Linked DNA regions of Tamandua tetradactyla. The protein of the gene in region 4 interacts with the protein of the main gene of each other region in a pairwise test. Links are inferred from orthologs where the notes say so. Each region holds a gene or a part of one and is shown on either strand. Other genes may lie near its edges.

The links.
Region 1: the proteins of TRIM39 (region 4) and EIF4A2 interact in binary tests that used the Homo sapiens proteins (3 or more experiments, as listed by UniProt). The two-hybrid records come from large-scale screens. The link is inferred for Tamandua tetradactyla from reciprocal best matches to the Homo sapiens genes TRIM39 and EIF4A2.
Region 2: the proteins of TRIM39 (region 4) and PSMD9 interact in binary tests that used the Homo sapiens proteins (3 or more experiments, as listed by UniProt). The two-hybrid records come from large-scale screens. The link is inferred for Tamandua tetradactyla from reciprocal best matches to the Homo sapiens genes TRIM39 and PSMD9.
Region 3: the proteins of TRIM39 (region 4) and UBXN6 interact in binary tests that used the Homo sapiens proteins (3 or more experiments, as listed by UniProt). The link is inferred for Tamandua tetradactyla from reciprocal best matches to the Homo sapiens genes TRIM39 and UBXN6.

Annotation. Positions count from the first base shown.
Region 1 is NC_135336.1:5,774,072-5,781,697, forward strand, and holds the start of EIF4A2 (eukaryotic initiation factor 4A-II), read left to right. Parts: upstream 1-4,620; 5' UTR 4,621-4,920; coding exon 4,921-4,949; intron 4,950-5,802; coding exon 5,803-5,851; intron 5,852-5,944; coding exon 5,945-6,077; intron 6,078-6,187; exon of another isoform or gene 6,188-6,256; intron 6,257-6,357; coding exon 6,358-6,497; intron 6,498-7,264; coding exon 7,265-7,433; intron 7,434-7,538; coding exon 7,539-7,626. UniProt on the Homo sapiens protein: ATP-dependent RNA helicase which is a subunit of the eIF4F complex involved in cap recognition and is required for mRNA binding to ribosome.
Region 2 is NC_135331.1:10,050,527-10,057,897, reverse strand, and holds the start of PSMD9 (26S proteasome non-ATPase regulatory subunit 9), read left to right. Parts: upstream 1-4,355; 5' UTR 4,356-4,489; coding exon 4,490-4,627; intron 4,628-7,371. UniProt on the Homo sapiens protein: Acts as a chaperone during the assembly of the 26S proteasome, specifically of the base subcomplex of the PA700/19S regulatory complex (RC).
Region 3 is NC_135337.1:77,655,745-77,663,645, forward strand, and holds the start of UBXN6 (UBX domain-containing protein 6), read left to right. Parts: upstream 1-4,899; 5' UTR 4,900-4,993; coding exon 4,994-5,076; intron 5,077-7,901. UniProt on the Homo sapiens protein: May negatively regulate the ATPase activity of VCP, an ATP-driven segregase that associates with different cofactors to control a wide variety of cellular processes.
Region 4 is NC_135331.1:85,289,133-85,296,878, forward strand, and holds the start of TRIM39 (E3 ubiquitin-protein ligase TRIM39), read left to right. Parts: upstream 1-4,729; 5' UTR 4,730-5,297; exon of another isoform or gene 5,298-6,203; intron 6,204-6,952; 5' UTR 6,953-7,082; intron 7,083-7,366; 5' UTR 7,367-7,373; coding exon 7,374-7,746.

The DNA.
Region 1 (7,626 bases), on a different chromosome or scaffold from region 4:
ATAATTTCAATTTCAGAGTTGGGCTTAGAAAGAAAGAGGTCACATCTGAGCAATAGAAGAGATCCTCTGGAAGTAATTCTTATTCATAACTATAGGTAGGCTTAGAGAAGTGGACCTCTTTTTAACGGCTAAGTATATGCATGGCGTACAATTTATTTAACCAATATCTTTTTTATAGACATTTACTTGTTTCTAGTATTTTGTTGTTAAAATACTGAGAAAGGGAATATGCTTGTTGATTGCAGAAGTCGAGGATATAGTAAAGGTAGGGTAGAGGAAAGGATTCTTGTGATAGTTCACGTATAGGATAAAATACCTAACTGGACGTGTTGGGTCAAAGGACATGTGCATTTTAATTCTTCATATTGCCAGAATATCCTAAAAAATATTACACTAGTTTAAACGTCCACCAAAAGTACTACAGTATCTGTTTGCCCACTAAGTATTGTCAAACTTTCTAATCTTTGTTAACCTAATTGATAAATTTTCTAAGTTATTTCTTCTCTTTTTATTTTACTTTCTCAACTGTATCCAAAGTGAGAATTGTGCCCTTTTAATCTTAATGCTTGCAAGGGCCCAGCACTACCCTATACACCTTAATAATTATTTCTTGCTTGTTGTTGATGGTTTTAATAGCTCAGATAAAGGATCAGCATTGATAAGTTTCAGTGGCTGAGATATTTCAAACACAGCCAAGTGGCCATTCTGGAGGTTATTCTTATGCAGAATATCGATATCCCTTTTCAGTTTTGGTTGTACTGCACTAGCTAGAGGGAAATACCTGAAACTGTTGAACTGTCATCCAATATAATTAATTCTTGCTTGTTGTTGATGGTTTTAGCAGCTCAAATATAGAATTAGAGTTGATATGTTTCAGTGGCTGAGAGTTTGGACGTTACGCTTATGCAAAAAAAAAATCCCTTTTCAGTTTTGGGTGTACTGTGGTAGCTACAGGGAAATACCTGAAACTGTTGAACTGCCATATCGTAGCCTTGATTCATGAATAACTTTAGAGCTTTCAAGGTGTGACTAAAACCTTGTGTAAACCTTGTGACTGACACTCCCTTTATTGAATGTATGGACTGATGAGTAAGAAAAAAGAAATGAATAATAGGAGGGTGTGGGGGAATGGGATGTTTTGGGTGTTCTTTTTTACTTTTACTCTTATTTTTATTTTTTTTGGAGAATGAACATGTTCAAAAATTGACTGTGATGATGAATGTACAGCATTATGATGATATTGTGAACTTCTGATTGTACACAGGGCGCACAGGTGATTCAGTGGTAGAATGATCACCTTCCATGCAGGAGACCTGAGTTCGATTCCTGGGCCATGCACCTAAAAAAAAAAAATCATATGGTGAAATGTATGTGTGTGAAGATTTGTCAATAAAAATATTTAAAAAAAAAATCATACCGGAGTAAAGGGAAATCTGACATTGTGTACTTCCTGATGGAATGAACTGAAAGGGAAACTTTACCAACTACAATTACTATTCTTTCCAAACATGTGTTTAACCTGAATCTAACAATGAAGCGAAAAAAAACAACAAATTCAGATTACGGGACATTTTAAAACAAAAACAAGCTGGTCTGGAATCTTCAAAAACATCAGTGTCATAAAAGAAAAATAGTAGAGGGTAACTACTGCTCTAGATTAAAGGAGACTGGGCAATGAAATGCAATACGTGATGCTTGATGGGATCCTAGATTTCTTTTTAAAGCCATAAAGTATATTATTGGGACATTTCAGAAATTTTGAATATAGATAGCTTTGTTGGGAATATCATCATATCAATAGTTAATTTATTGGGTATAATAGCATTTTCTTGGTTTTATGAAACGATATCCGTTTTTAAGATAAAAGCCGAAGTGTCACCATGAATGTGACTCAAAAGGGTCAGCAAAAAGTCATAAATACGAGAGAAAGAGTAAACATAGTAAACCTATCAATTGGTAGATGCAGCAAGAATTTGGCATTTGTTACATTATTCTTGGAACTTTTCTGTAGGTTTAAAAACTTTCCAAATAAAAAGCTGGCCCTACCTCAGATCAGATCAAGTGAATCTGGGTGGGGGAGGGTGGGTGGTAGGGCCCAGTCCACAAGTATCTGCATTTTGAACAGATCTTTTCATTGATTTTTATGCATTCCACAATTTTCAATTTAATTTGAAGTACAATATTGTCACTTTATTTTAGTCTCTGTAAAGGTAGAGGCAGAAATACCTCCATCTCTTAGTTACACAGTAGTTTAATGACCTTGAGCAAAGGGACCCAAATCCAGTCCTTACAGAGTTCGACAGGCCTTTCCATGGTCCTACCCCCAATTTTCACCATTCCCTTCAACCATTTTGTCTTTATTTTCATGCAAATGGTTTTTAAAACTCCTGTGAAGGACATGGTAGTACGTGCCACCCTCCACATTGCTTCTGTGGACAGTTTCTACACATAAACAGATTTAGCCACTGATTTCCTCCAGCAACAGATAATAAAAAGAGGTGAATTGCACTCCTGTCACTGTTTAGCTTTAGGCAATACTTTTTAATCAGTTAAATTATAGATGTAGGGACTTACTGGCTAAATAACATTAATAATTAATAAAGAGTGAAAGGTCCAAAACATACACCTTAACAAAATTCTGCTTATCAATAGATTGGCAAGGTACTGCTTTTTAAGTGTGTAGTTATCACTGAAAATTGACTGATGGACTTACAATAATATGGGCCCCAAGATGATGCACAAATATCCCTTTAAGATAAGACACCGTTTATAGAAAGATGTCACTACCAATATAAAATATACTCTTTTAAGGCTGTAATGGGTTTCCATTAAGTAGGGATGAATTTGTAATAATTTCTTGGTTCCTCTGGTAAACACCAGCTTACAACTGATAGATGGTTCCAAGACATACAACGCCTAGATGGGTTTAGAATTGTCTGCTGAGACTACTGAAGATAAAAAAATAAACTAGATGGCTCATATAAGGAAATAGTCTTTAATTTTTAGCATCACAACTGTAAGTGGTCTCACACATTCCATGTTGGTCCAAAAGCATTTGAGAAGGCTATCTAATTTTAGATCCTAGGCAAGCAGGAAAGTTTACCTTTTCAAACAAGGATGAAATGCAAGCTGGTAAGCACAGGGTTTATTGGAAATATAGTGTAGGGTTGCAGGCATTTGTGGGTCTGGCTTTACACTCTATAATGAAATTTTTTTTACTTCAAAACCTCTCCAGCACTTACAAACTCTAGAATTTAGCTCTTGATTGTTTCCTCTTAAGAGATGGGTAGCATTTAGCCTTAACACTTAACCTAAAGAAAACACTCAGCAATTAGGTGTTAATTGTTTATGACTTCACCCTAGGATGGATTGGTTTCATCTTAAAACTAAATGATTTGCCACTGTCCTGATTTAACACTTTCACCAGTTTCTTAAATCCCAGGCTATTTTTAGATTTTGGATGAGACCATTTAAAACCTCTAGGGACCAGGGGAGCAGGGCGTACGGGGCTGAGGGCCGACGATGAGCAGTCATTAGACTGGGGGCCAGGTCAACTTTGTCATCTCCCTGCCTTTTAATTTTTGTGACAGTTCCTGGCACCATAATATCAAAAAAATAAATGGTGTCCTGTAAAACAAAACACACACGTGGTATTCAGAGCCAAATATTTTCTAAAATATATAAAAGTGGTTGTCAGTTTTTCTAGTAATCAGATTTTAGGCTGGCCTTTTGAATTAATGAGAATGTTTTCCTGAGTATTCGGGATGCTAGCTTGCAGTGCTGGCAGAAGGACTATACTTTAAAGTTACACGACAAAACGTAGTTTTTATTTTTACCAACGGGGATAGATTGGGCAACAGCTGAAAACCTTTGGAGCTTAAAAAATCATGCAATTTCTTTAAGTAGCAAAGACGGTCGCTCTCGATTTCAACAGCTTATCATTCATCCTGCATAAGTATTCAAAAACTGAAAGACTTTTAAAAAGATGACCAATATAGACCGAAATGAAAACATCTAGTTCCAAATCGGCGTGGAGCTGAAGGTGCTAGAAGCACCCATTTAAAACCTGCATTATAAACCACTCTCCCTAAGCTTTTAATCATTTACAAAAGTTTACACTGATTTCTCCCCGGCATTCCGTATACCTGCTACGTTACAACTATCAGCATTATTTTAAAAAGAGAACGAGAGAAGGCCAGAAGCAACACGGGGAAAGCAGAGTTGGCTATTCCAGAGACACTTGCAAATGACATACGACCTTCTTCTCGTTGGTAAACCTGACTTTTTGGGACGCGCTGGGATGCCGACATTTTCCCCAGCAAGAGTTTCACACTCTGATGACCTGACTGGATGCTAAACCCTTGGGCTAAAGGACGAGCGACTTTCTATCACCAAATTAAACGGCGATGCACACAGGTAAAAGGACCGTGGGCTCGCTGCATAACGCGCGTGTCGCGGTCGCCGCTACACCTGAGGATGCGCAGCAAACGTGCTCGCCCGGCCGCACTCGCCCACAGGGAAGCCGCTTCCGCCTCTCGGCCCCTCCCCGATCCCTCGGGCCCGCCTCTGCGGCAAGGACGTGGAAACCCCGTAGGAGGAGGGCGGGCACGGAGAACGGGCTCTGACTATCCCTTGCTGCAATATTCTTCCGCCGCTTAGCAAAGAGTCCCGGCCCTTCCCAAGGGTTCTGGGAATTCCCTCAACCCTGGAATATCGAAGAATGACAAAATATGGATTCCCCCCCAGTACTTTCTCAAGGTTTTACATGAGGTAGGAGCTTCAGGATCACAGTTTTGTGGCCGATCGAAGAGCGACGAGAAAATTCCTCCGCAGGAAACGGGTTCCGGCCGCGAGCCTATAAAAAACGGGTAGCGCGGTTCTGCTGTCTTTTCAGTCGGGCGCTGAGTGGCTTTTCGGATCATGTCTGGTGGCTCTGCGGATTACAACAGGTATGGCCCTCTTTTGGTGGCAGTAGTTTGTGGTGAAGGTCGTGTTGGGACGAGGGGAGGTTGTAGTAGATGGCTTCCCCGTAAGGAACGCCAAATTCATAGGTGTATCTTTAGGGGTACAGTATCCTGTGCCCTTCGGGAAGCTTCCATAATGGTTAATGTTCCGGATTATAGGGAGACAAGACGGGGGCAGGAGAATAGATCGGTTAAAAAGCGCCTTTTTTTTCCTTTCAAGGACGTTATGAAATGACAGTTTTCACCTCCCCTTGCGCTGAGCACAGTAAACATTTAGTTAATTTAAAGCTGTGGCGCAGTCCGGTTTGTGTTCTGTGTAACGGGGACCGGAAGTTTTATGTGCGGCCAGCGGCGCGAATTGAGTTCCTGGGTTTTGAATGGGGGAAGGGTGGCGGCAGCTTCCACTCGGCCCTAGCAGAAGGCGGATGGGGCTGCACCGAGGACGAGGGTCCGGGCGAACCGTTAGCATAGACTTCCTCAGGCCTCTTTCACCGTGTCAATCACAGTGGCTTGCGCAGTGTAAGGGGCGGAGCGCAACGTTGAAGCTCTCGCGAGAGGCCCCACCGCCAAACGGGAGCTCTCTTCTGGGCTGGAGTGAGAGGCCAGTGTCTGGGCTTCGCGTGCGGGCCTCGGACGTACTTCACCATTCAGGAAAGGAACATGGTGTGTTTGACCTGCACCTCCAGTTGGATAAATATTAGAAAATTACATACGTAGGAGAGGGTACTGTGCGATGACAGGCGAGGTTAAGTGTTACCTGTAAAAGGGCTATTCCCTTAAGGTGCAGTTGAGTTACGGTGGCTTAAGGGATTTTCTCTAACCGCGGTGTTCTTGTCAGCAGAGAACATGGCGGCCCAGAGGGAATGGACCCCGATGGTGTCATCGAGGTAAGAAACGAGTGTGGTTTTTGAAACTCTGGAAAGGTGAGTTTGTTCATCCCATTTACTCCTGCCCTTTTTTTTTTTTTTTTAAACTCACAGAGCAACTGGAATGAGATTGTTGATAACTTTGATGATATGAATTTAAAAGAATCTCTTCTTCGGGGTATCTATGCTTATGGTTTTGAGAAGCCTTCAGCTATTCAGCAGAGAGCTATTATTCCCTGTATTAAAGGTAAAGGAAAACTCGGGTGTTCATAAAGTAGTGGAATATTGTTCAGCGTGCACCTGGACCATAAAAGGGAAAATAATCTCTTGGGGACTAGCACGTATGTGTATTCCTTAAAGTGAAATGATGGCAATCATCTTTCGGGACTGACCTGAAATGAAGAGAATACTCATTGCTGATCACTTATTTGTTTGGGCATAGTTCATTTTCCAAATGGAATACATGGTATGAACTAGAAGTGACAATTTGATGTGGGATCGGTAAATATGTATCCTACTTTTTTTAGGGTATGATGTGATTGCTCAAGCTCAGTCAGGTACTGGCAAGACAGCCACATTTGCTATTTCCATCCTGCAACAGTTGGAGATTGAGTTCAAGGAGACCCAAGCACTAGTATTGGCCCCCACCAGAGAACTGGCTCAACAGGTATTGATAGTGTAGTTCAAAAAAACTGCTTGCGTGTTGCATAGGTTTCAGGTTTCACAACTGTGAAGACTTTAAAACAGTATAAATTGCTCCTATCAGGGCACTCTTGTTGTCCATGCATGCAGAGTTTTTGTTGAAAGTTAAATAGGAACTGAGTTTACAGGTACAGTTTGCAGGGTTGTATTCCAACAGATGATAAGCCAAAGCATTCTATTCCGAGCACACTAGATTTGTGTCCATTTTTAAGTTTGAATGCAGTTGTGCAACATGAAAACTGCAGTGACATGTTATTTGACTGTCTCAGTAGTTTGTGATGCATCTGTTGCATGCTATTGTTTTCAAAGCTCACTGCTATATTGGCTTTGAAGTAAACTTTCCTAATAAAGCAGGTTTTATTAAGGTCCAGACACAGTATCCCCATGGGAAGAGATTTTATAAAGTATCAATAATATGATATTAGATGTAATTGCAGAGCTTGTTTGACTGTTTACATCACCCCCTACTCGTGAGGACTAATGTAGAAAATTTTCAGTTCTTTAATTATCTAATTGGTACTTTCGGGAAATAGGGATTCCAGCTTTGACCAAGTACAAGAATGAGGCAGTTTACAGAAATTTAATCTTAAAACACTTGTTCAGTCTGCACTTTAAGCTTGGAGATAGTTATGTGCTATGCATGCAAAACTACAGACCAGATAGTTGAAATGTTTTGGAAGTTAGTAGAGCCTATGAATTTAGTGGATAATAATTGAGGCTTTTGATTTTTAGATTCAAAAAGTAATTCTGGCTCTTGGAGACTATATGGGAGCAACTTGTCACGCCTGTATTGGTGGAACCAATGTTCGAAATGAAATGCAAAAACTGCAGGCAGAAGCACCACACATTGTTGTTGGTACTCCAGGGAGAGTGTTTGATATGTTAAACAGAAGATACCTTTGTAAGTATTGTCCTTAATGCAATATTGCTAGGTCGGGTGGGTAAAAGTCCATTGTAACCATGAAAATCTAGGGATGATAGTATGACCTTTATATTTTTTTAACAGCTCCAAAATGGATCAAAATGTTTGTTTTGGATGAAGCAGATGAAATGTTGAGCCGGGGGTTTAAGGATCAAATCTATGAGATTTTCCA
Region 2 (7,371 bases), about 75 Mb from region 4:
TGCCCCCTCCCCCTGCCCCTTTAGGTCTGGGACTGGTAATGGTCCCCACCATTGTCAGCTCCAGGTCTTTCCTTAGTTTTTCCCCTTAACCCCACCTCTGCTTCTGTAAATAGCCCGTTCATTAAAAGCCCCCTTGAGTGTGGCCCGTGTTTCCTGATGGGTCCCTGTGATGGTGACGTGCACGTTTTGACTTGGCCAGGTTAGAGTGTTCAGTTGTTTGGTCAAGGAAGTGCTGGTCTGATTATTACCGTGACGTCATTTCGTGGACTTAAATCATCAGCCAGCTGGTTGCATGTATGGCAGATTACATCTACAGTCACCTGAAGAGGTGGCCTTCAGCAATGAGAGAAGGCTCATGCAATCAGCTGAAGGCTTTAAAAGGAGAAGTGATGAGTTCAGCAGTCAGAAGGGAGAATTTCCATCTCTATTTCAGCCAGCCAGCTTCTCCCGGGGAATTCATGGAAAGCCTTCCTTGGAGTTCCAGTTTTGCAGCCTGGCCTATGGAATTTGAACTCACCCAACCCCACAGCCATATGAGAGAATTCTTATAAAAATTTCATAATATTTACAAATATATCCTGCTGGTTGGTTTCCCTAGAGAACTTTGACTCATACAGGCCCTGAACTGATTCAGCAACTAATTTAAAATCTTAAAAATTCTGAGTGAGTCAACCCACACAGCCTGTCACCAGTTAGAACCCAGCCCCTCGTCTTACAGATGCTGGAAAGGATGGCGAGAGAAGGAAGGTGATGCATCAGTTAACCTGACTCCTAGGCCAGGTCCGAAGTGAAATATGGGAAGTTTGGTGGGTCCTTAAGCCAGGTAATATTATCAGGACCTGGCCAAGTCTTAGCTGGGATAGCTCTAGCTCCCTGGCTCGGGTTCACACTTCCTTAGCTCTTGGCTTCTCTTTCATTCTGAAATGAAAACGAGCAAGGGATATGTTTGCAAGAGGCGAGCTTAAGTTCTCTTAGATCTTGGCAGGTTGCTAACGGAAAGGCTTTGCTGGGCTGTCTGTGGCCGCTGTGGGTAATGAGCCGCATAATTGGAATGGGGAAGGGGTGAAGATGGCTTTCTCAGCCTCTCCCCTTAGGATTGTCTATTAAATAAACACTCAGACCCTTGAAGAGAGCAGGCCCTAGTTCATGTCCTCTAAAAGTCCCCAGTGCATGGGCCAGACATGTCAACGTGCATTTACAATATCAAATGAAAAGGGCAGAGAACAGGTGCAGGTCAGAGAATGGTTCCTAAGGAGATCATGTTTGAGCTGAATCTTGAAAGAGATGCTGGGTTAGCCTGGCGTGAAATGGTGTTCTGGAGAAGTGGAAGAGCAGGTGCTAAGGCCCAGTGCTAAGACAGAGTGAGCCATCAACGCACAAGTGCTAGAAGTTCAGCATGGCTGGGACTTAAGGTGTGTATGCGTTTGTGTGTAGGTGATGGGGGAGGGGATGTTCGAAGGCAAGCTGGAGTCAGAAGGGTCTTGAAGGCTAAGGAGAGGGCATGGGAACGCCTTGGAAAACTTTCAAGCATCAAGGAGATAACCTTGGTATTTGGAAAGGTTATTCTGGCTGCGGTAAGGGAAATGGAGCAAAGGGGGTGAGGCTGGAAGCTGAGACGTGTTCAGAGGCTGCTGCAATCCGCCAAAGATGGGATTGGCTGGGACACGAGGAGAGGCGGATGTGGTGGGTGGATTTGAGAGGTATGAAGGCAGCAGAAGGGGCAGGATCTAGGTTTATTGTAATAGTGTCAACCATATCAACAAGAGCAACATAGCATAGTGATTTGCCATAGCTCCGGTTTCTAGCTTCATGGGTAGAATCGCCTCCTCTCCTCTTTTTATTTTGAAAATTTTCCCTATACCCTTGTGATGGTTGGAAGCTGTGTATACCCCCAAAATGATCATGCTCTTTTAATCCATTCCTTGGGTGTAGATTATTGTAGTGGGACCTTTTGGTTAGGCTATTTCAGTTGAGATGTGACCCACCTCATTCAAGGTGGGGCTTAATCCTCTAAACGGTGTCCTTTATAAGAAAGATATAAGATAGAGAAGGACATCCCGAAACTAGAAGAGAGACAGAAGCTAAAAGAGAGAAACATGCAGATGCTCAAAGAGCAAACCACTGAAACCAGCAACTGGAAGCAGCGAAACCTAGGAAGGAAGGGAAAGACGGGCAGATATTGCCATATGCCTTCCTTGTGACAGAGGTATCCTGGAGTGCCAGCAGGACATGCCTTGATTTGGACATTTTTAACGGCCTCAGAGTTGTAAACTTGTAAGGTAAGACATCCCCATTGTAAAAGCCAACACATTTTTGGTATATTGCATTTCCTCAGCTTTAGCAGATCAAAGCGACCCTTCACCTAGATTTATTAATCATTACATTTCACCTATATATATATATATATATATATATATATATATATATATATAGTTGTTTTTCTAAACAACTTGCAAGTTGGTTGCAGAAATCATGATGCTGTTTCCCCCAAATACTCCAGCATTTATCCCTTCCTAATAAGAAGATTCTCTTACATAATCAAAATACCACTACCTTACTCAGGAAATTTAATATCAATATAATACTATGATCTAATATCAAGTCCATATTCAAGTCCTACCAATTGTTCCAATAATGTCCTTTTCTTTCTTTCTTTCTTTCTTTTTGCATGGGCAGGCACTGAGAATTGAACCCGGGTCTCTGGCATGGCAGGTGAGAATTCTGCCACTGAGCCACCATCACACCGCCCACAATAATGTCCTTTAAAGTGGCTCTTTTTTTTTTTTAAATCCAGTATCAAAGATCATGTATTGCATTTAATTGTTTTGTCTTTCTCCTTTTCTTTTTTTTGTGAATGTTAAAAATGTTAGTTTATTTAAAATAGATCAATTGAACAAAATAAATGAAGCCTGATATAATCGGTTCTACTTTTTTTTGTTAAAATGCTTTTTTTAACTTCTTATTTTGAAATCATTTTAAACTTAAGGAAAAGTTACAAAAACAGTACCAAGAATGTTCATGTTTGTTTCACTCAGCATCACAGATTATTTTGATTTTGCCACACTTATCATTCTCTCTCTACAAATATATATTCATTTATTTTCTGAACCATTTGCCCCTAAATATTTCAGAGTGCATTTTCTGAGATCATTCTCATACATAACTGCAGCACAGGTATCAAAATCAAGAAATGTAATATCGATACTATTCAAATGTCCCCAGTTTTCCCAAGAATGTCCTTTATAGCTTTTTTTTTGTCACTTGGGGAGGGGACCAAGTTTCCAACCAAGGATCACATTTAGTTGTGGCCTCTGTAGCCTCCTTTACTTCGGGCAATTTCCAAGCCTCTGTGTGTTTGCGTGTGCAAACATACACATGTGCGTGTGTGTGTGTTTTGCAACATTGACCTTTTCAGAGAATTCAGGCCAGTCGTTTTGCAGAATATCTCTCAATCTGGATTTGTCTGCTTTCCTATGCTTGGTTTCAGGGTAAACACGTTTGGCAAAAAAGCTTCATAGGGCATGCTGTGTACTTTTCAGTGTAGAGTATGAGGGCTTGTGACGTCAGTTTGGTGATGTTAAATTTGTATTTGGTTAAGCAAATTGAAATTTTGGCTTCACGTTTTACTAGTTGGGTAAATTGATCAAATGGGGGCAATAATACTAGTTTCATGAGGTTGTTGAATGAATAATTATAAGGTATCCAGAACACTGTGGTACATTGTAAATGTTCAATAAATAATTATCACTATTATCATCACTATTATTTTTACCAAATCTTATAGATATCTTCATATGTGAGAGGCGCGCTGTTCAATCCTCTACAGGCATTTTCTCATTGATTCTTTATCCCTCTAGCATCTTGGACAATGCATGGCAAATAGGAGGCAGATGACAGCTCTATGAGATGGATTGCTATCAACCTTGCACCACTTCACAGATGAGAAAACTGAGGCTCAGAAGGGTGATACAATTTATCTAAGGTCACAGATTGTGGGAGGTGGTAAGAGTAAGAATTTGAGCCCGGGCTTGTACGGTTCACCATAAAACGAGGCCTAAGGAACCTGGATGTATCTTGTGAACTGTCAAGAGCTGTGCAGATGTGAAAAACTGAATTGGAGCGCCTTGCACAGTGCTCTGAAACATATGTACAGTAGGCGCTCAAGAAATGCTTGTTGAATGAACAGGAAAGAAAATCAGTAAACTAGGTAGAGAGCTCCCTGCCAGGGTGGAGTTGAGCGCCCGGGCGAGACCCGGAATCGGTTTCGCGTGAGTACCCGCGCGCGGGTCTCCCGCAGGGCCGGGATCACGTGCTCCAGCAGGGTGTGGCTTCCTGTGACCCCGCCCCATCACCGAAACCTTGCCCTTGCCAATCCTCGCAGGGCTTTGCGGCTGTGGTGTTTTGGCCCGCGGGCGGAGCCGTAGCCACAGTCTCCCAGGTGGTCCGCAGAAGCGGAGCGGCTTGTTCAGCTCTGGGGCCTCTGTTAGAGATGTCGGAGAAGGAAGCTAAGGCGAGCAGAGACTCTCCGCAGGCCCGCGAGGTGACAGTTAGTGACATCCAGGAGCTGATGCGGCGCAAAGATGAAATCGAGGCCCAGATCAAGGCCAATTATGACGTGCTGGAGAGCGTGAGTGTGGGCCTCGGGCTCTCTGCCCGACATGGGGGGCGCCCCAAGACCTCCTGGCTGGTTCTCCCGAACCCAGGGAGGGACCTGGAAGGTAGGGGGCGGCCTCTGCTTGGACTCTCAGCTGTGGGAATTTCTCCCTCCCTGGGAGGTCCGAGGCGCCGCAAGTGCGGCTTCTGTTGGCGGTAGGTAGTGCAGACACGTTAAAAATATTAACAGCTCGTGTTACATAGTCCATTGAGCCTTTCCGGCATGCTACGCGCTGTTTTGAGTGCTTTACGTGCGTTAGCTCATTTAATGCTCGGAACAATCCTTTGAATGCGGTACTATTATTTTCCTATTTTAGGTTGAAGAAATTCAGCTAATGAGTTGCAGACGTTGGGCTGTAAACACCACCACCACCAGTCCTTGTTGAACATTTACTAGGAATCATATGTTTTTGTTGACTAATTTACATCAGGGTCTCTTAAATTTTAATGCTCATAACTTGGGGGTCTTATTAAAGTGCAGATTCTGATTCAGTAGTCTGGTTTGGATGCCCAACCCTGCATTCCTAACAAATTCATGAGCTATGTTGCAGATCTGAGGACTACACTTTGAGTAGAAGGGATTTATGTGTCCTGTATTCATCTGATAGGTTAGGCTGATTATCCTTAAACAGTGGAGGAAACTGAGGCCCACGATCTTGCCAATAGGATGTGGCAGCAGTGGGCTTGTTCTCAGGTGTGTCTGGCCTCAAAGCTGATGCTGTTTTTCCTGTCCACCTAGCGTAAACCCACGAATCAATTTGTAGAGAGAGATTAAATTGACTACATATAGGCAAGACGGAATGCAGTGTAGAAAATGGAAGTAAGATAAAGTATCACTTGGAGGCCTGAGTATCATTTCATTGGATACTGACTATATACCTGGTTATTGTTTGTGTTGTACCTTGAAATTCTGATACTCTGTAAGGTTGGTTTGTTCTCCTAAAGTACAGAAAGGGGAAGCCACTTGTGCAAAGGGACAAAGTGGGATTCAGGCCTGATTAATCCGGAACTTGAGCCTGCAGACTCTATGCCAGTAATTTCTCAAGCTTGAGTTTTCTGCCGTCAACAGGATGCTGTGTTCATATTCCTCCTGTACCATTATTCCTTGATACTTTTCTTTAGGTGGCCCACTTTTTTATTTAAATGAATTTATTTTAAAAGGAACTCTGTATCTGTGCAGCATATGGAAAACCAGAAACTCTGTAAAGTAAAAATACATGTCAAGGCAGTGCAAAATGTTAGTTGCATCTAGCTAGCTGCCATTGCTTGCTGAAGGCTTTAAGCTTTAACTCTGCTCTGTTTATTTAGAAAGAAATGGAGAGCAAAACACTTTCAGAAGAAAATATAGGAGTATGTAGCCCTGATATTGGGCTAGTCAAAGCCTGCATAGATATGACACCAAAAGCACAAGCTACCAAAGGAAAAATAAATAAATTGGACTTCATTAAAATTAAGAAGCACTTAATTTTTAAGCACTTCTGTGCTTAAAATTTAAATTATTAAGCACTTCTGTGCTTCAGTGGACACTGCCAAAGTAAAAAGACAACCTGCAGAGTGGGAGAAAACAAATCATATATCTGATAAGGGTCTTGTATGCAGACTATGTATAGAACTCTTACAACTCAACAATAAAAAGACAGATAAACCGATTAAGAAATTGACAAAAGATCTGAATAGGCATTTCTCTGAAGAAGATGTAGGAATGGCTAATAAGCACATGAAAAGATGCTCAGCATCATTAGCCATTAAGAAATGCAAATCAAAATCACAATGAGATTTTTGGGGTGATGATAATATTTTGGAAGTAGCAGTTTCACGGCATCGTGAATGTATCAAATATCACTGAATTGTACACTTCAAAATGGTTAATTTTATGAATTGCATCTTAAAATACACACATGTAATGAGATAGAATTTCACAGTCACTAGAAAGGCTGAAATTTAAAAGAGTAACAAGTGCAGAAGACATTATGGAGAAATTGCAAACATCAGACACTGCTGGTAGGGATGTAAAATGGTACAGCCTTTTTGGAAAACAGCTGCTTTGGCAGTTCCTCAAAATGTGAGTTCTAATATGACCCAGTGATTTCACTTCCAAGAATATACCCAAGAGAAATGAAGACATACATCCACACAAAAATTCACATACGAATGTTCATAGCAGCATTATTCATGATAGCCTAAAAGTGGAATCAACCCAAATGCCCATCAATTGATGGATGGTTAAACAAAATGTAGTGTTTGCATGCAATGGACTATTCAGCCATTAAAAAGGAGTGAAGTACTGATACATGCTATGACATGGATGAAGCTTGAAAACATAGTGCTAAGTGGAAGAAGCCAGTCACAAAATCAGTCACATTGTATGATTCCATTTGTATGAAGTATCCAGAATAGGCAAATCCACACAGACAGAAAGTAGATTAGTGGTTGCCAGGGGCTGGGGGTGGGGGATTTGGGCAGTGACTGCTGCTGGGCACAGGGTTTCTTTTTTGATAAAAGCATTCTGAAATTGTGGTGATAGTTGCACATATCTGTGAATACACTAAAACCATTGAATTGTACATATTAAATGGGTCAGTTGCATGGCTTATGAATTATTTCTCAATAGAGCTGTTTTTTTTTTTTTAAAGTAAGCATAAGAAATGGAGGGAGCCAGAGATAGCAAGTCATCTGGAGGTGTAATAAAGACCACCACCACGTTGAGACTTTCTTCTT
Region 3 (7,901 bases), on a different chromosome or scaffold from region 4:
CCATCTAATCAAAGGCCACACCCACAATTGGGTGTGTCACATGATTGCCAGTGACATTCAGAGTTTCTCTCTCAGCTGGAGAGGCACATGGCAAGATCTGCTAGCTTTCTCTTCAGTGGCTTCCCCAGGGCTTTGTCTGTTCTGTTGGCTCTGTCAGTTCTGGTGCCTCTCGTGGCTCTAATCAAGTTTCCAACCTACAGTACTGAATCAGGATTAAAAGAAACGACTGCCCTCACAAGATTGGATCAGGATTAAAACATGGCTTTTGGGAAATACATAATATTTTCAAACCAGCACATACCCTCACAGCTCACTCTTTCACTTCCTTGGGGTTTTTGCTTAAATAAATTCCTTCCCCCAATGTATGCAAGTGTAAGTAAATCTCAAATAAATGAAATTTTCAAAGTATAACACACACATGGAAAAGTCTGAAAATCAGAATGGGCACGGCACGATGAATTAGCACAAAACGAATCCATCCAGGCATTCACCACCCAGGTCAAGACTTGGAACATTCCAGAGGCCCCTTCCTAATTACTCCACAAATCCTCCTTCCTCCCCCCGCCCCACCGCCAAACAATCCCTATCCTGCCTTCTAAGATAGAATCAACGGACTATTTTTTATTTGTAGATAAATGGAACCATCACCTGCATATTTTCACATGTGGTTTTTCTTCAATATACTTGTGAGTCATTAATAATGCCTGTTGCACGTAGGCAGGAGTTCATTCTTTTCTTTTAATCGTGGTGCAGCATTCCCTTGTGTCAATAAACTACTAATTATCTATTCATCCCACTGTTAATGGAAATTTGGGTTGTTTCCAGTTGGGGCTTCCATGAATAATAATACTGCTATGAACACTGGGTACAAGTGTTTGGTGTGCAAATGTGCAGCGTACCTGTTGGCTATGGGCCCCAGGCGCGAGCTGGTGGGCCTTATATATGGGTGTGCTCAGTTTCAGCCGACACCATCAAAAAGTCTTCCACAGTGCTTGTAGAGCCCGAGAGGTCCAGGGGCTCCACTGCTTGGCCTTCCAGTCCTCAGAAGACAGCAGGAAGTGGTGCAACAGTGGCTCAGTGGTAGAATTTTCGCCTGCCATGCCTGGAGACCCAGGTTCAATTTCTACTTGGAATGGTTAAAATGCTTCTGAATATTACGTTATGTTTATTTTACCACCCGAACCAAAGGCGCTGGTGAGTGTGAAAAGACAAGTGATGGAGTGAATACTATAATGATGATGATGTTGGTTCATGTGTTGTAACAAAGGCACCACACTAATGCAAAATGTTCAAAACAAGGAAAATTGAAGATATGTGTGTGGGGGCGGGGGGTAGTGGTGGATGGGGGTATATGGGAACTCTGTATTCTCTGCATGATTTTGCTGTCAACCTACAACTACTCTAATAACTAATTACTATGCCAAATAATAATTTATTAAATAAATTTATACAAAAGACAAGCGGTAGACTGACAGCAAATATTTACAACATGCATAGTGGACAAAGGACTCATGCAGAACTCAGACCAGATAATTACAAGAAAAGAGAGAGAACCTGACTCTTAATAAATGGGCAAAAGACTGAAACAGGCACTTTACCCAAGAGGCTAGCCAGGTGAACAACAGGCATATAAATCGGTATCTTTATTATTACTCACCAGAAAAATCAAGACCATAGCACTGGATACACCCCAGAAGGGCTAAAATGAAAGGGAATGGTGAATATCAAGTGCTGACAAGGCTGCGGAAGTCTCATCCATGTGTGGGGGGAGGGGGGAATGGTCATAATGGTAAAACCCCTTGAGAAAAGCATCTGACAGTCTCTTGGAAAAGTTCTGTGTGGCTCATTACATAACCCAGCCACTCCACTTCTGGCTGTAGACTACAGAAATGCAACCAAACTGCTTCAAATGAAACATATAAGTGGATTGTGGTAGGTTGGAAATGGTCCCCCCAAAATATCTTGGGCACTTCCTAGTCCTTGGAACTTGTGGCTGTTGCCTTGCATGGAAAAAAGATGTGCTTTTTTTTCAAGCCCTTGAGTGGAGCAGATTATCCTGGATTATCTGGGTGAGCCTTAAATGTGATCAAATACAGAGGCAGTTTTGAGACATGCAGAGGGAGTTTTGAGACAGACACCCAGAGGCGAAGGTGATGTGAAGGTGGAGGCAGACTTTGGAGGGATGCAGGTACAAGCCAAGGAATGCCAAGGATGGCTGGTACCCACCAGAAGCTAGAAGAGGCAAGGAGCGGATTGCTTCCCACCCCCTAGCCCCCACCTCACATCAGAGCCTTTGGAGGGAGCTCATTCCTACTGACACCTCAATTTCAGACGTCTGACCCCCAGAATTCTGAGATAAATTTCTGTTGTTTTAAGCCACTAAATTGGTGCTGATTGTTTACAACAGTCACAGAAAAATGATATGTTGTTCATAGCAGCTTTATTCGTAATGGCTCCAGACTAGCCATTGTGTTCTGTCCATCAACAGTCAAATACGTGAATTTTGGTGTCTTTCTATCATGGAATATGACTCAGTCACGAATAAGACTGAACTGCTGCCTCAGGCTGCAATATGGATGAAGCTCAAAGACATAGCGTTCAGCAAAAGAAGCCAGACACACAAAAAAGTACATACTATATGATCCCTTTCAGATGACTTTCAAAAACAAGTAAAACTCTACTATGGGAATGGAAGCTGGAGCCTTTAAAAGAGGCTTTGACTATACAGCATTTACAATGTGACCATGTGATGGTGGAAACCTTGTGTCTGATGCTCCCTTTATCCAGGGTATGGAGAGATAAGTAAGAAAATAAGGACAATAAATAAATACTGGTGGGAGGTGGGTAAGGTGTAAAAAAAAATGGGTAGATTGCAATACTAGTGATCAATGAGAGGGAGGGTTAAGGGGCATGGGATTATGTTTTTTTTCTTTTTACTTCTTTTTCTGGAGTGATGCAAGTGTTCTAAAAATGATCACGTGACGATCACAACTATGTAATGATAAAAGAAATTAAATGTGATGAAATATTTGATGATACTGTGAGCCATCGATTGTATACTTTGGATGGATTGTATGCTGTGTGAATATATCTCAATAGAATTGCTTTAAAAAAAAAAAGAGGCTTTGACGGAGATGGGCTCAGGGAGGCTCACAGCTTGGGACCTGGAAATGTTCTGTATCTTTAGCTAGTTGATGATTGCACAGACATATACAAGTTAAAAATTCACTGATCCGTACACTTGGAATTTGTGCACTTTAATATCTATAAGTTATAACTCAAAAAGTTAACACCACCATCACTACCATAAAAAAAACAAATCACTACTAAAACACTGCAAACAAGTGACCACAATCAAAGACACTGAATTTAAAAACATTTTTTGGTAATAAAATACGGTGGGAATAACATAAAAAATCTCTCACATCCTATCACCCAGTTTCGTGGTGGACAAAGTTTGACCAATCTTGTTTCTTATTTCCCTTCCATATACATACAGTTTGTATATATACGTAAATTATACAAACATTGTACAAAATATATATACACATATGTATATATTTACAAAATATATATGAATGTTTAGATTTGTTTTGCAGAAGTATTTACAACACTGTTCATCTGTCACATTATTTCACCCATAACTAACGCAGAATGCATTTTTCTTTAGTACAACTATCATGCCAGTGCCACCGCAAACAAAATTAGAACTGTCTCCTTTATATTATCTAGTACCTGAGACATAAACAAATTTCCCCAATGGCGCCAAAAATGTCCTTTGACCATTCTGGACTCCCTTATTTGATGTTGCAAACTGTTTCACCCTATCACCCTGTTCTCCTCTATTTCTGTTTTCCACTTTTTCTCTAGCACACCAAATCCCATCTAACCTACTTCAGATTGTATTTATTTATGGTATTGTCTATCTTCCTTCCCCACCCTTCTCAAAAATATCCTGAGCTCACCAGGGCAGGGAATTTGATCTGTTTTCCTCACTGCTGGTACAGAAATGAGTTCTGAAGAAATGTTAAAGGAATTCATCGTTATGACATCTGCCATTCATGGACAACTCTGTAATTGCGTGGGGTTGGTGTTATGAATCTGGAGTTCAGAAATGTTAAAGTTTGGGTTGCACTAAATTCTCCTTTAAATCCCTTAAAATAATCGCCAATCTCCTTAATTTAAGGCTCTTTGGGATCAAAATCGTCCGGAACTATCTCTTCCCATCCCTTATCACGCCCGCGCCGGGACTCTTTCATTTTCTGGAGAAAACCCATGATACTTCGCTTCCAGGCTCTGCGCAGACTTTTTCCTGGTCGGGAGACCTTCCTCTCCCACACTCTCCTTGTCTCCCTCACTCCTACTCGTTTGCCAAGGTTTATTTCAGCTGTCAGGCTGGGTGTCCTTTGTGGTCACAGCCCAATCCAGCACGAAAGTCCTCCTTAACCTGCTTCTCTCTTTCTCTCGTCCGCCATCGTGGACCCCCAGCCCCGAGTTCGCTGTCTTCTTCTACAGCACGAGGGGCTGCTAGGGCTAAAAACTGGGGTGGATTGTAGGGTCCCTGGATGCCTGGTTGAACTGCGACCTTATCACGTAGGCACTGGGGAGTCAGGGAAGGCTCTTGAGCAAGGAGGACAGGGCCACAGCTTTCTCCGCGGGGACCAGCCAACCTCTCTCTCCCACTCCGCGGCGGACGCAGGGAAGGTCGCCCAGACGCAACCTCCAGCGAGAAGCGCGCTCGTCGCCCCTAGCAACGGAGTCCGGAAGAACCACCGAGATGTGGTTCTTGAGTGTAGAGCGTCGCTCTGGGACGACTGGGCACTCAGAGCTAGATTGGTGCGCCGGGCCGATTGTCACGTGGGCGGCCGCGCGAAGGCGGGACTTCCGGCGGCGTAGTGTTTTCTTTCCGGTAGTTGGCTCCGGCAGGCCCCTCCCCGACTGGGCCGTGCGCCCCCGCGCCCCGCGGCTCCCCGCCGCTGGGCCCGCCGCCACCATGAAGAAATTCTTCCAGGAGATCAAGGCAGACATCAAGTTCAAGAGCGCAGGGCCCGGTCAGAAGCTCACAGACCCTGTGGGGTGCGTAACGGGCGCAGGGGCGGGAGAGGGGTCCGAGCTCTCGAAGGGCTGAGCTGGGCGGCGGGGAGTCGGGTGGAAGGGCGAGGCCCGGGGGCAGGTACGAGGTGAGGTAGTAAAGCGGGAGGGTGATATCTAGGGGGCGGTGCGGGAGGGGCGAGACCTCGGGGGTGGGGCTGCAAGGAGAGGGGTCAGTCGCGATATCTCAGGGGGTGAAGTGGGTGTGAGTCCTAAGCAGAGTTGGGGACGGGGAGGGAGCCCTGAAGGGGCAGAGATGATTTGGAGAAGTCTCTGTGACCACAGATCGAGGCTGACCCTAGAGAAGCAAGTACAGGTGGGGTCCGGAGGAGTCGTTGTCAAGCTCAGGGACAGTGGGAAGAGATTTGGGGCCCTGGAATGCATGGAGTACGGGGTGGGAGAGGAAAGAGTCTGGAAGCCCAGGGAGCCTGAGGCGGTTGTTGGAAGGGTTGGTAGTGACTTGGGAGGTTTGGGTGAATTGGGGTGCTTGCTCCTAGAGGCTGAGGAAGTTCTGGGAGGAGATTGGTGAGGGGAGCTGGGGGTGTCTGTGCTGGGAAGGAAATGGGGGCCTTGCATCTGATGGATGAGTCAGACGGGAGGAAATTCGAGGGAAGGCTTCTGAAACTTGTCTAGAGAGAGCTGGAAGAGGAGAAGAGCCTGGTGCAAGACTGGACACTCAGCAAGGAGGAGGGTATGTGAGGGGCCAGTGGAGAGAAGGAGGGTGTGTGAGGAGCCAGTGTCCTGGAGGGGTTTGTGAAGAAGTGGAGAGGGGTTGTGGACCTGAAAAGGAAGATCAGCTGGGGAATGGGGGGAGAGCGACAGAGATGTCAGCATGGGGAAGGGTCTGTGGGGAGTAATGGAGGATTGTGAAGAGGCAGGGGCATCGAGGATGCAGAGGTGGCAGGAAGGGGTGTTGAAGAAGGCATCGGAAGGTGATGGGGGTGGGGAAGGGAGGGCAGAGATATGGTAAGGACAAGTCATCTGTCACGAGGATTGGGGATTTTTTGGGAAGAGAGTGCCAAGCAGAACGGATTGGGGATTTTTTGGGAAGAGAGTGCCAAGCAGAATGAGAGACGGAAGCAGAGCAGACAGTTTCTCAGAGGGAAGAACCTGCTTTTGTCAGGAATCAGGTGCCTGAGGAGGGAGGGGAGGGCAGCTTGATAGGAGCTGGGGAGAGAGAGGGAGAGTGGTGGGCAAGACAAGGGGTTCCTTTCATTTATTAAAAAAAATAATGGGTGGAGTGGGGAGTGCTGTGACAGTTGGGACTGTGTGTGACGGGAAGGAGATGGGCCTATGGGGATAGTGATTGTGTCAAGACTGAGGCTGTAGGAGGAGAAGGGAGGAGAGGGAAGCCTGGAGGGGAGGGGATGTGGTATGCAATCCAGGCCTCTGTGACGTGTCTGGAGACTTTGGGCAGGGGGTGTATGTGCTCCCATGTGCCACACATTGACCACGACTAAGTGGGGGGACTTGTAGTGGGGGTGGCAATGAGTACACAAATGGATAAATATATGAGGAAAGATTAGGTGGTACTCAGGGCATTGAAGAAAAATATTCCAAGTTAGGGATGGTGCATGGCAGAGAGGATCATCAGGTGCCCTGGAAGCCCCTCTCTGAGAAGGTGATGTTTGTGCCAAAACCTGGATGGAGAGAGACTTGGCCATTTGGATATTGAGCCCCTCCGTATCTCCCTGCAGCAACCCCAGCCCTTCCCAGACGCCTTTTCCTCATCCTACCCGCAGACAGAAAGTTTCAGAGGTTATAGGTGAGAACCATCAGGGTACCTGGAAGCGTAGCCTGGAGAGCATTATGGATGGAGAGGAATGAGCGAGGGACGGGGTCCAGCGAGCCTCGTGAGCCATGGGATGACTTTAGGGTCTTAATCTACAGGGGTAAGAAGGGTTTTGTGCAGAGGTGAGTGACAAGAGCTGGCTTAGGTTTTTGAAGGCTCCCTCTGACAGCTCAGCAGAGAAGAATCGAGGAAGGGCCATAAGTGATGTTTTAGGAAGTTGTTTTTATAGAAAGATCTGAACATCAGAGGGGGCTTGGGTGGGTCTACCTGACACATCTTCTACCCCAAGCTCTTAGACCCTTGAGGTGCTTTGGAGAGGACAGGAGAGAGATGGGGTTGGTTGGAAAGCAGGAGATAAGAGAAAAGGGCTACCCTGTGGATGGCGGATCAGAGAAGAGTGGGAGGAATTTGGGTCCTGAGAAGGTTCTAGAGAGGAACAAAGATGACTTGAGCTCCTGGGGTTCGTAGAGGATCTTGAGGGACACAGGAAGGCAAGACAGGTGGGTGAGATCAGATTGGGAGAAAGGACTAGAAATGTTGAGTGCTGCCAGGTCCTTTTATGCTAAGAGTCCAGTAGATTATAAAACCTCCCATCTTAAGGGGAGAGCGACAGCTCTGATTTTGCAGGGCAGAGGGGAGAGGAATAACGTGCTCCTTCTCCCCTTGGCAGGAATGGGGGTTCATTGCTGGTGGGCCCCCTGGCCCCTCCACAGCTTGACCAAGCGCATGTGTGGCCCACACTTCTGTGAGCCTCTGGTTTGTGGAAAGGGGAGCTGAAGACCTCCCTCGGGGGCTGGTTATGGGAAATAAACCTGTTAAATCATAGCCAGCATCACACCTGGTGCCTGACACACAGTGGGCGCTCAGTAAATGAAACTGCCGTGCTGTTAGAGACAATGTGGGCTGAGCATTCCATGGACGGGGAGAGAGGAGCACTTCCCTTAGGTCCCATCAATTCCTTAAGACCTTGGGGTGCTTTCACGTGTACTTCATCCTGATGGTCCCCCTCATGTTGTGT
Region 4 (7,746 bases):
CAGAAGGAGGCTAATTTTGACATTGTATCTGGAACTCGTTACAAAGGAAATGGAGGTGTATATGGCTGGGATTTGAAGAGAAAAATAATCAGCCGTGGAGCCAATTTTATAACTCAGATTTTGCTGAGACCGGGAGCATCTGATTTGACAGGAAGCTTCAGATTATACCGAAAGGAAGTTCTACAGAAATTAATAGAAAAATGTGTTTCTAAGGGGTATGTCTTCCAGATGGAGATGATTGTTCGGGCAAGACAGATGAATTATACAGTTGGCGAGGTTCCAATATCATTTGTGGATCGTGTTTATGGTGAATCCAAGTTGGGAGGAAACGAAATAGTCTCTTTCTTGAAAGGATTATTGACTCTTTTTGCTACTACTTAAAAGAAAGTTACTCATTTACACTTATCATGTTCATTTCAATTTAAACAAAAAAGAAGGCTGGTTGCTGATTTTTATAAAATGTACTCTTAGAGCATAAACTGTAAGGTAAGGTAAATTTCATGTAAATCTTTTTTTCTGAAGAAACTCCCATTTTATATTTTAAATTAGAAAAATGAACAGTTTCCTCAATTTCATTTTTATTTTGCTGTATTGAGATCTATAAATAAATGTATGATTTTTTGCACAAAAAAAAGGTATATCTACATCCATAGAGTTTTAAAGTAAGGGGTAGATAACTGTTTATTCTCATGGTTTCCATGAGAAGAGATTTCCTCAACCTCCCACACTCCCACCTTTCTCTAGAAGTGACCTAAAGGGGGTTGAAGCAGGAGCTGAGCAGGCTTGGCCTAGCTCCTTGTCTTTTTTCCCTCTTTGAATCTGTTTGCAGAGGGAATGATTTCTCAGCATCTCCCAGCTACATGTAAGCTTAGCCAGTAGGTTCTGAAGGGGAGAGGTAGGCATACCTCAAGGGTTAGGAACGTGTTCAATTCAAGGGAAGGCAAGCAAATCAACTGACGATTGCTAAACCATTCCCTCTAACATGGTTTATAAAACTAATAAAGGTGACATTTTGGTCCCAGGGTTCTGACTCCTGTATCTTTCTACCGGTTCTGTATAGGTTTTGAAATTGGCAAGGAGAATTTGTATTGTCCTAAAATTTCAACAAGAAAGAAAAAATAATGAGTTTGCTTTGTTTTTGTTTTTGTTTTTTAGGTACAAAGAGTAAGTAAAGTGAACTATTTTTTCCTTTCCTTACCACTGTCAACAAGAGGAGAAATGTCCTACATACACCAAAATTCCTCAATTGTACTGTTATCATGCTGTTAACTTTTAATTTTGAAGCAATAAAATCCATAATAAGGACCCATATTATATTTAGAATCCTAAACGATGCTATTAAGATTTTTTTTCTAACATAGGAATTTTCAATCTTAATGAGTTAAAAATTTATATGAGAGGACTTCTGGGAAGATGGCCAAATAGAGTAGCTCAAGATTAGCCCTGCTTCAGGGAAAAATTAGAGAAGGGACAGGAGAGCGACTGAGGCAGCGATTCAGGAGTGAGGCTGACCTGGGAGAGCATTTTGCACCACAGAGGGCAGCCCTAGTTGCAGAGGCCGAGGAACTGAGAGGTAGAAACCTGGAGACTGGCGAGGAGACACAGAACCCATGGGAGTGCACGGACAGGAGCAGGGGACTAGGAAGTAAGCCGGGCCACATTCCTTGGGTGCATACCCTCACCAGTGCAGCCTCGTGACCGGTGACTCACCCCACACCCCACGCACCCGAACCCCGTCATACGCTCCCATTTCCCGGGCTCCAGGCACCCCCACCCAACCATCCCTCAGTGCATGTACCTGCCCCACACTTCACCCCAACTGCAGCACATTTCACCTCTCCTGGCACCCCTCCCGAGCACTACCTCCCCCTCCCTGTTCCCTGCAGGCTGTTGCCAGCGCATAAAGGCTGCCAGCACTACCCTCCATACCCAGGCTACCCCTGCCCCCCTGCCCATAGTGTCGTACAGCTTCACCCCACACCCCCTCAAGCTCTGTGCATCAGTTTAAGCACTCCTAGACCCAAGCACAGACAGAAGATAAACAAGGATATAGAGAAGTTAAATAATTTGATAAATGAATTAGACCTAACACACATATACAGGTCAGTGTACCTCAAAGTACAAGGTTATACTTTCTTTTCTAGTGCTCATGGAACATTCTCCAGGATAGATCATATTCTGGGGCATAAAACAAGTCTTAATAAATATAAAAATAATGAAATTATTCAAAGCACTTTCTCTGATCACAATGGGATGACCTGGATCTCAATAACCACCAAAGGAACGAGAACATTCACAAATACATGGAGATTAAATAACACACTCTTAAACAACCAGTGGGTCAAAGAAGAAATTGCTAAAGAAATCAGTAGCTATCTAGAGATGAATAAAAATGAAAATACAACTTATCAGAACTTATGGGATGTGGCAAAGGCCGCGCTGAGAGGGAAATTTATTGCCCTAAATGCCTTTATCATAAAAATATATTTAAGCCCTCTAGCCTCCTATATACTGGAGCAGCTAGAAGTAAAAATCTGAGAGGATCGTATCACAGCCCATGACACACTCGGGGATCTGTCCTATAACCACTTGTTGAAGAGTGCTTTGAAAACTATTGCTTTTTTATTTCTTTGCTTTGTATATATGTTATACTATATAATTTAAAAAGTTTAAAAGAAATTACCCTTCATCCCATTAAAATAATTAATTTTTAAATATTCCTGTGGTGATAATTTCTTGATATACAACACAAAAACTCAGTGCTATTCCACCTCTCCTGAACTACAACCCCTTCTAACCTTTAATAATACCCCTCCTTGTTTAAAGAATGTACTTGTATCCCAGTATCTTCATAAATTTCAATCAACTAAGTTACACAAGGTCATAACAAATCTGCTATGATCTCAAATTACCTTTATTATTTATTTTTATATAGACACAGAAAAAAGAGAACACAGCATGTCTATCCCAATTATCCTCGTTTGAAAATTAGTGGATTCTTCGACAAAGTCAGCAAACTATGGCATGTCACGTGTATTTTTGTATGGCCCAGTAAATGGTATTCATATTTTTAAAAGGCTGGGGAAAAAATCAAGACTATTTTGTAACACATGAAAATTATATGAAGTTCAGGTTTCAGGATCAATTAATAAAATTTTAATGGATACAGCCACACCCATTTCTTTAGTATTACCTAATTCTTTTTTTACACTACAAAAAGAGAGTTCAGTAGTTGCAACAGACACTACACAGGCAATGAAGACAAAAATATGTCCTATTTGGTCCTTTACAGATAAAGTTTGCCAATCCCTAATCTATGTCATACACCATGCCATTCATAATTTTATAGTTTTACCTAGGAATTTTCTCCCTTTTCCCTCTATAGTCAGTGTACAGTCTCCTTAATAAGCTATTGGTCTCCAGACAAACATTCTTCATAGTCTTGGACATGGACCCCCTCCAGGGAATCTCCTTAGTCTAACAGCATCCCCAGTCATGTATAAACAAAAGGCGAGTAAGGATTGCTTTCCGAACTTAACCATGTAACACCTTAGAAGTTACAAATGCACAACAACAACAAAACAGAATCAACCTTCTTCATCATCCTTCTCCCTCCAAAGCAAGGCTAAAGAGGCTGTTCTCCCAGCTAGTGGCTTTCAAACTACCCTAACGAAGAATTAAGTTTTGTTACCTGGAACAAGTACTACTGCTAAAGTCCCTAAGGCCAAATAATAAGAATACAAATTAATGATCATAATTTTCTCAAGTATAATTTTATCAAGTTTTTCTCCAGATCTTTGGGTACCACACATACACACACACACAAAGTGATCAAAAAGCAGAGGATCTTTAAGAAAAAAAATAGACGAACTGTATTTAGCATGTGCGACCCTAAATTTTTACACTTCACATATTTGATTCTATTTTCCGCAAGTAAATAGTTTCTGGCTCCCACGATGAGAGGCTCTACATTACAATGTTTGTATAGCATCCCAACTCAAGACTGGAACAAGCTAGATTCCTTCCTCTCCAAGAAGGGTACACCAAAATTTGCTCATGATCTCTTTCAATCAACATTCTGCTCGCCAAGCGTTGGGAGCGGGGCAAACTGCCTTCTTCTCTACCAGCAGTTTCATACTCATCCTAGCACTAACTCCTCCCCAGCCCTACCACAACTCTACCCAGCACGAGCTCCTTCACAGCCCCAGCTCCTTCCCAGCCCCAATATCACTACTCGGCACCAACTCCTCCCCAGTCTCGCCACACCTCGATCCTGCAGATTCCCCCCCCACCCCCAGGCCCATCACCTCACCCCACTGTAACAAAGTCCCGACCTGCGGAGCTTCCAGCTGCAGAAAGGGTAGAGTGTGGAGTTCCCGTACAAGCACCATCTGACCTTTCAGAGAAACCCAAGTCACAGTCCCATAAGTGGAAAGGACCGGCCTTGGCTCGCACCAATAATGGGTGCGTACGGAGAGCTTGCAGCGGTCGTGCTCCAAGCGAGGCGCAAGGGATACAAAGGTGAGCAGCAGAGACCTGAAATACCAACTCTCCGACTCTCACTCCAGCGGGAGAGGAGTATCATTTCGAAAAAGCCCGCCAAACCAGAGGCGCGAGGAACAGCTCTTGAAGTACACGGGAGCGAGAATTTAATCCCTGAATGTTAAAAGGCTAAAACTCAAGTAGTCGGAAGTGACGTGCGAGCTGCGAATTGCAGGTCCGCCACGTAATTGGCCACCGCCTCAACAAGCCACTTTCTCTTCGGACTTGCCTGAAGAAAGGGAAAGTGTGGCTGAAAGCCCACAATCCGCCCCTGTCCCGCCCCCCGACTCCCAGCGCCACCGGGGAGCCGCGGAGGCTGGCCAGGGCCCTAGCCCGCAGCGTGGGCAGGGCTGTCTCGCCGGACCAAGAGGCCGTCCAGCGCCCTGCGGGCAATGGGCTTCGGCGCTCAACCACGCGCATGCGCGGCCCTCTTTCTCCAGAGGATTCCTCGGGTCACCTGCACGCCGGCATCTCCGCCACCTGCCCCTCCAGGTCCCTTCTCGTCCTTGACTCCTCCCACTGGTTCTCACCTCCGGCCCCATTTCTTCTCCTTCTTCCGCAGGCCCCGCTAGGCCCTGCCACGGCCGCCCGCGGACACCCGGCTTTCGCTCGACACGAGCCACTCGGCGCGGCGCGGCTTCCGCTTCCGGCGAGTATTGTGTCGCGCTGCGGGGCGGGGGCGGGGGGAGGAGAAAGGAGGGAGGCAGCGCTCCGGTGGCTCCGCGCCCCGCAGTCCCGGACCCGAAGCCGGGAAGGTAGGTGCTGTCCCGCCGCCGGTCCCAGACCCCGGGGCCTTCCCCGCCGGCCGGCTCCGCACGCCGCGTCCCAGCGCCCCGCGACTGCGTCACCGGTCCCCCTCACGTAACCACTGCTGCCTCCCCCCGCCTCAGGCCGGGGCGGACGTTTTGCCGCCCCGGCGACGTCAGCGCGTCCGGCGTTGCTTGGCTACCCCGTGGTTCCCCCGTCCCGCTGCCGCTCGCCTCCCCGGGTGAAACTCCGACGCCGTCACCGCCGGTCTCGGCTGCGTCATAGCAGCGGGCATCCCACCTTCACGTCACACCTCCTCACCTGGACACGCATCCTTCCCTCCCCCGCCAACCATGACGTTTCTTGCCCACCCCCTCCAATCCCTCTGCGCCAGATCTGGCGGGAGAACGTGGAGACGGGGGTGGGACAGAGTTGTGGACCACGCTCAGGAGAGGGTCGCAAGGTGGGACCTTGGACAGTGGTAGAAACAGAACGTCGGCGTCCCACAAGTTTGCCTGTCTACTGACACACAAAGCATAGAGGAAGAGGAAGGACCAACCCAGAGGCACCCAAGGCATCATTATGCCTGTAGCTCCAAGTCCTCTTCATACTTCCCTGACCCTTTATCCATTTCTTTTTCACATAACTTCTCCGTTCCCTCTGCCAGTCTAAATCCATCCTGGCCCCTAATGTTGCATACAGTTCAACCCCAGGTGAGGAGGTCGCCTAATTTCTAGAAGATTGAGGACTAATGTCTAGTCAAGGTTGGATTCCCATAGGTAAAGAAAAATCGTCTGACTGAACTTCGGTCCTGATGCTGGGGGAAGAAATTCATGTTCAAAGAACTTAACAAGCTCCTACTCCAAATTAAACATTTTCATATGTACCATCAATACATACAAGAATAATCTTTGGTAACTCACCCATTACATGTTCACTTGCCTCTCAGCAGATATACCTGCTAAATTTCCTTCCTTTATTGGGTCTTGGGGGGTGGGGGGAGGATGGACAGGATGAGTACAGAGAAATTATTCATGAATAGGAGTGTTACCATTTTAGGGATGGAGTAGCCTTCTGCTTTATAAATACCTTAGATGCATTTTCAGTTCTTTTGAGGTTTCACTTAAGGGAGGTTTTAATTACCTCTTTACTTTTCTTTCTCCGAATTCCCAACCACTTCAGAATTTATTACTTGGAGACACTATTTCCAAGGAATTAGTTATGAATAGCTATCATGAAAGTCATTGCTGAATAATTAGAGTAGAATCATCAGCTCTTTCAATAAGTTATTGGCTTTGGCTCAATATTGTACTTTCTAGTTGCCATGAATTTATCACTTTTTAGCATTTCTAAATACCCAAATTTACACGTACAGGAATGGATGTTCTGTGAATCATTTCATTCTAAGAAGAGGGCCCAGTTCTCTAAGCTATTCTGATAAAACAAAGAATAATTTCAAACTTTCTTGTAAAGGAGATACTACCCTCACACACCCATTCCATTCATTACTCTTTGAAAGAATGAGAAGAATGGTTGAAAATCAAGATAGACCCCAGTGAAATATAGTAATAAAATTCTTCTGTAACATTAACTTCAGATTTAATTTAATATCTTAACTCTAACGACAGCTTTTATTGTCACAAACTCCTTTCTCATCTGTTAGAATAATATGTCAAACTACGGATATATTGGTCTGGAATTACTGGTTCTAAGATATAAGTAGAATGTGCCTGCATCAGGAACACACTGCTTGGGTTGGGAGAAGCCTTTGTTTTTAACAAGAGAAAGCAGAGGTAAGAGACAGAAGATTGGGGGGAGGTGGGGAGTAGTCTGTTTGGCAAATAGTAAAAAAAAAAAAAAAAAAAAGATTTAGGTTGATGGCTGGGAGTCACAAGTTTGGAAATAGAGAAACAAAATAAAAGTTGAATCTAGAGGAAGAGAAGATGGGAAATACTAAGATGGGACTAAACTTAGAGATAGGGTTTAATGTGGGGGTAAATGTCAGACCAGGGATGCAAAAAAATTAAACCTTCAACTAATATTTTTCTTTTCTCTGTGCCCCCTCCCCATTCCCAAGTTAAATAATGGCAGAGACAAGTCTGTTAGAAGCTGGGGCCTCTGCGGCCTCAACAGCTGCAGCTCTGGAGAACTTACAGGTGGAGGCAAGCTGTTCTGTGTGCCTTGAGTACCTGAAGGAGCCTGTCATCATTGAGTGTGGGCACAACTTCTGCAAAGCCTGCATCACCCGTTGGTGGGAAGACCTGGAGAGGGACTTCCCTTGTCCTGTGTGTCGAAAGACATCCCGCTACCGCAGTCTCCGGCCTAATCGACAACTAGGCAGTATGGTTGAAATCGCCAAGCAGCTCCAGGCCGTCAAGCGAAAAATCCGGGATGAGAACCTCTGTCCCCAGCACCATGAGGCCCTGAGCCTTTTCTGCTATGAGGATCAGGAGCCTG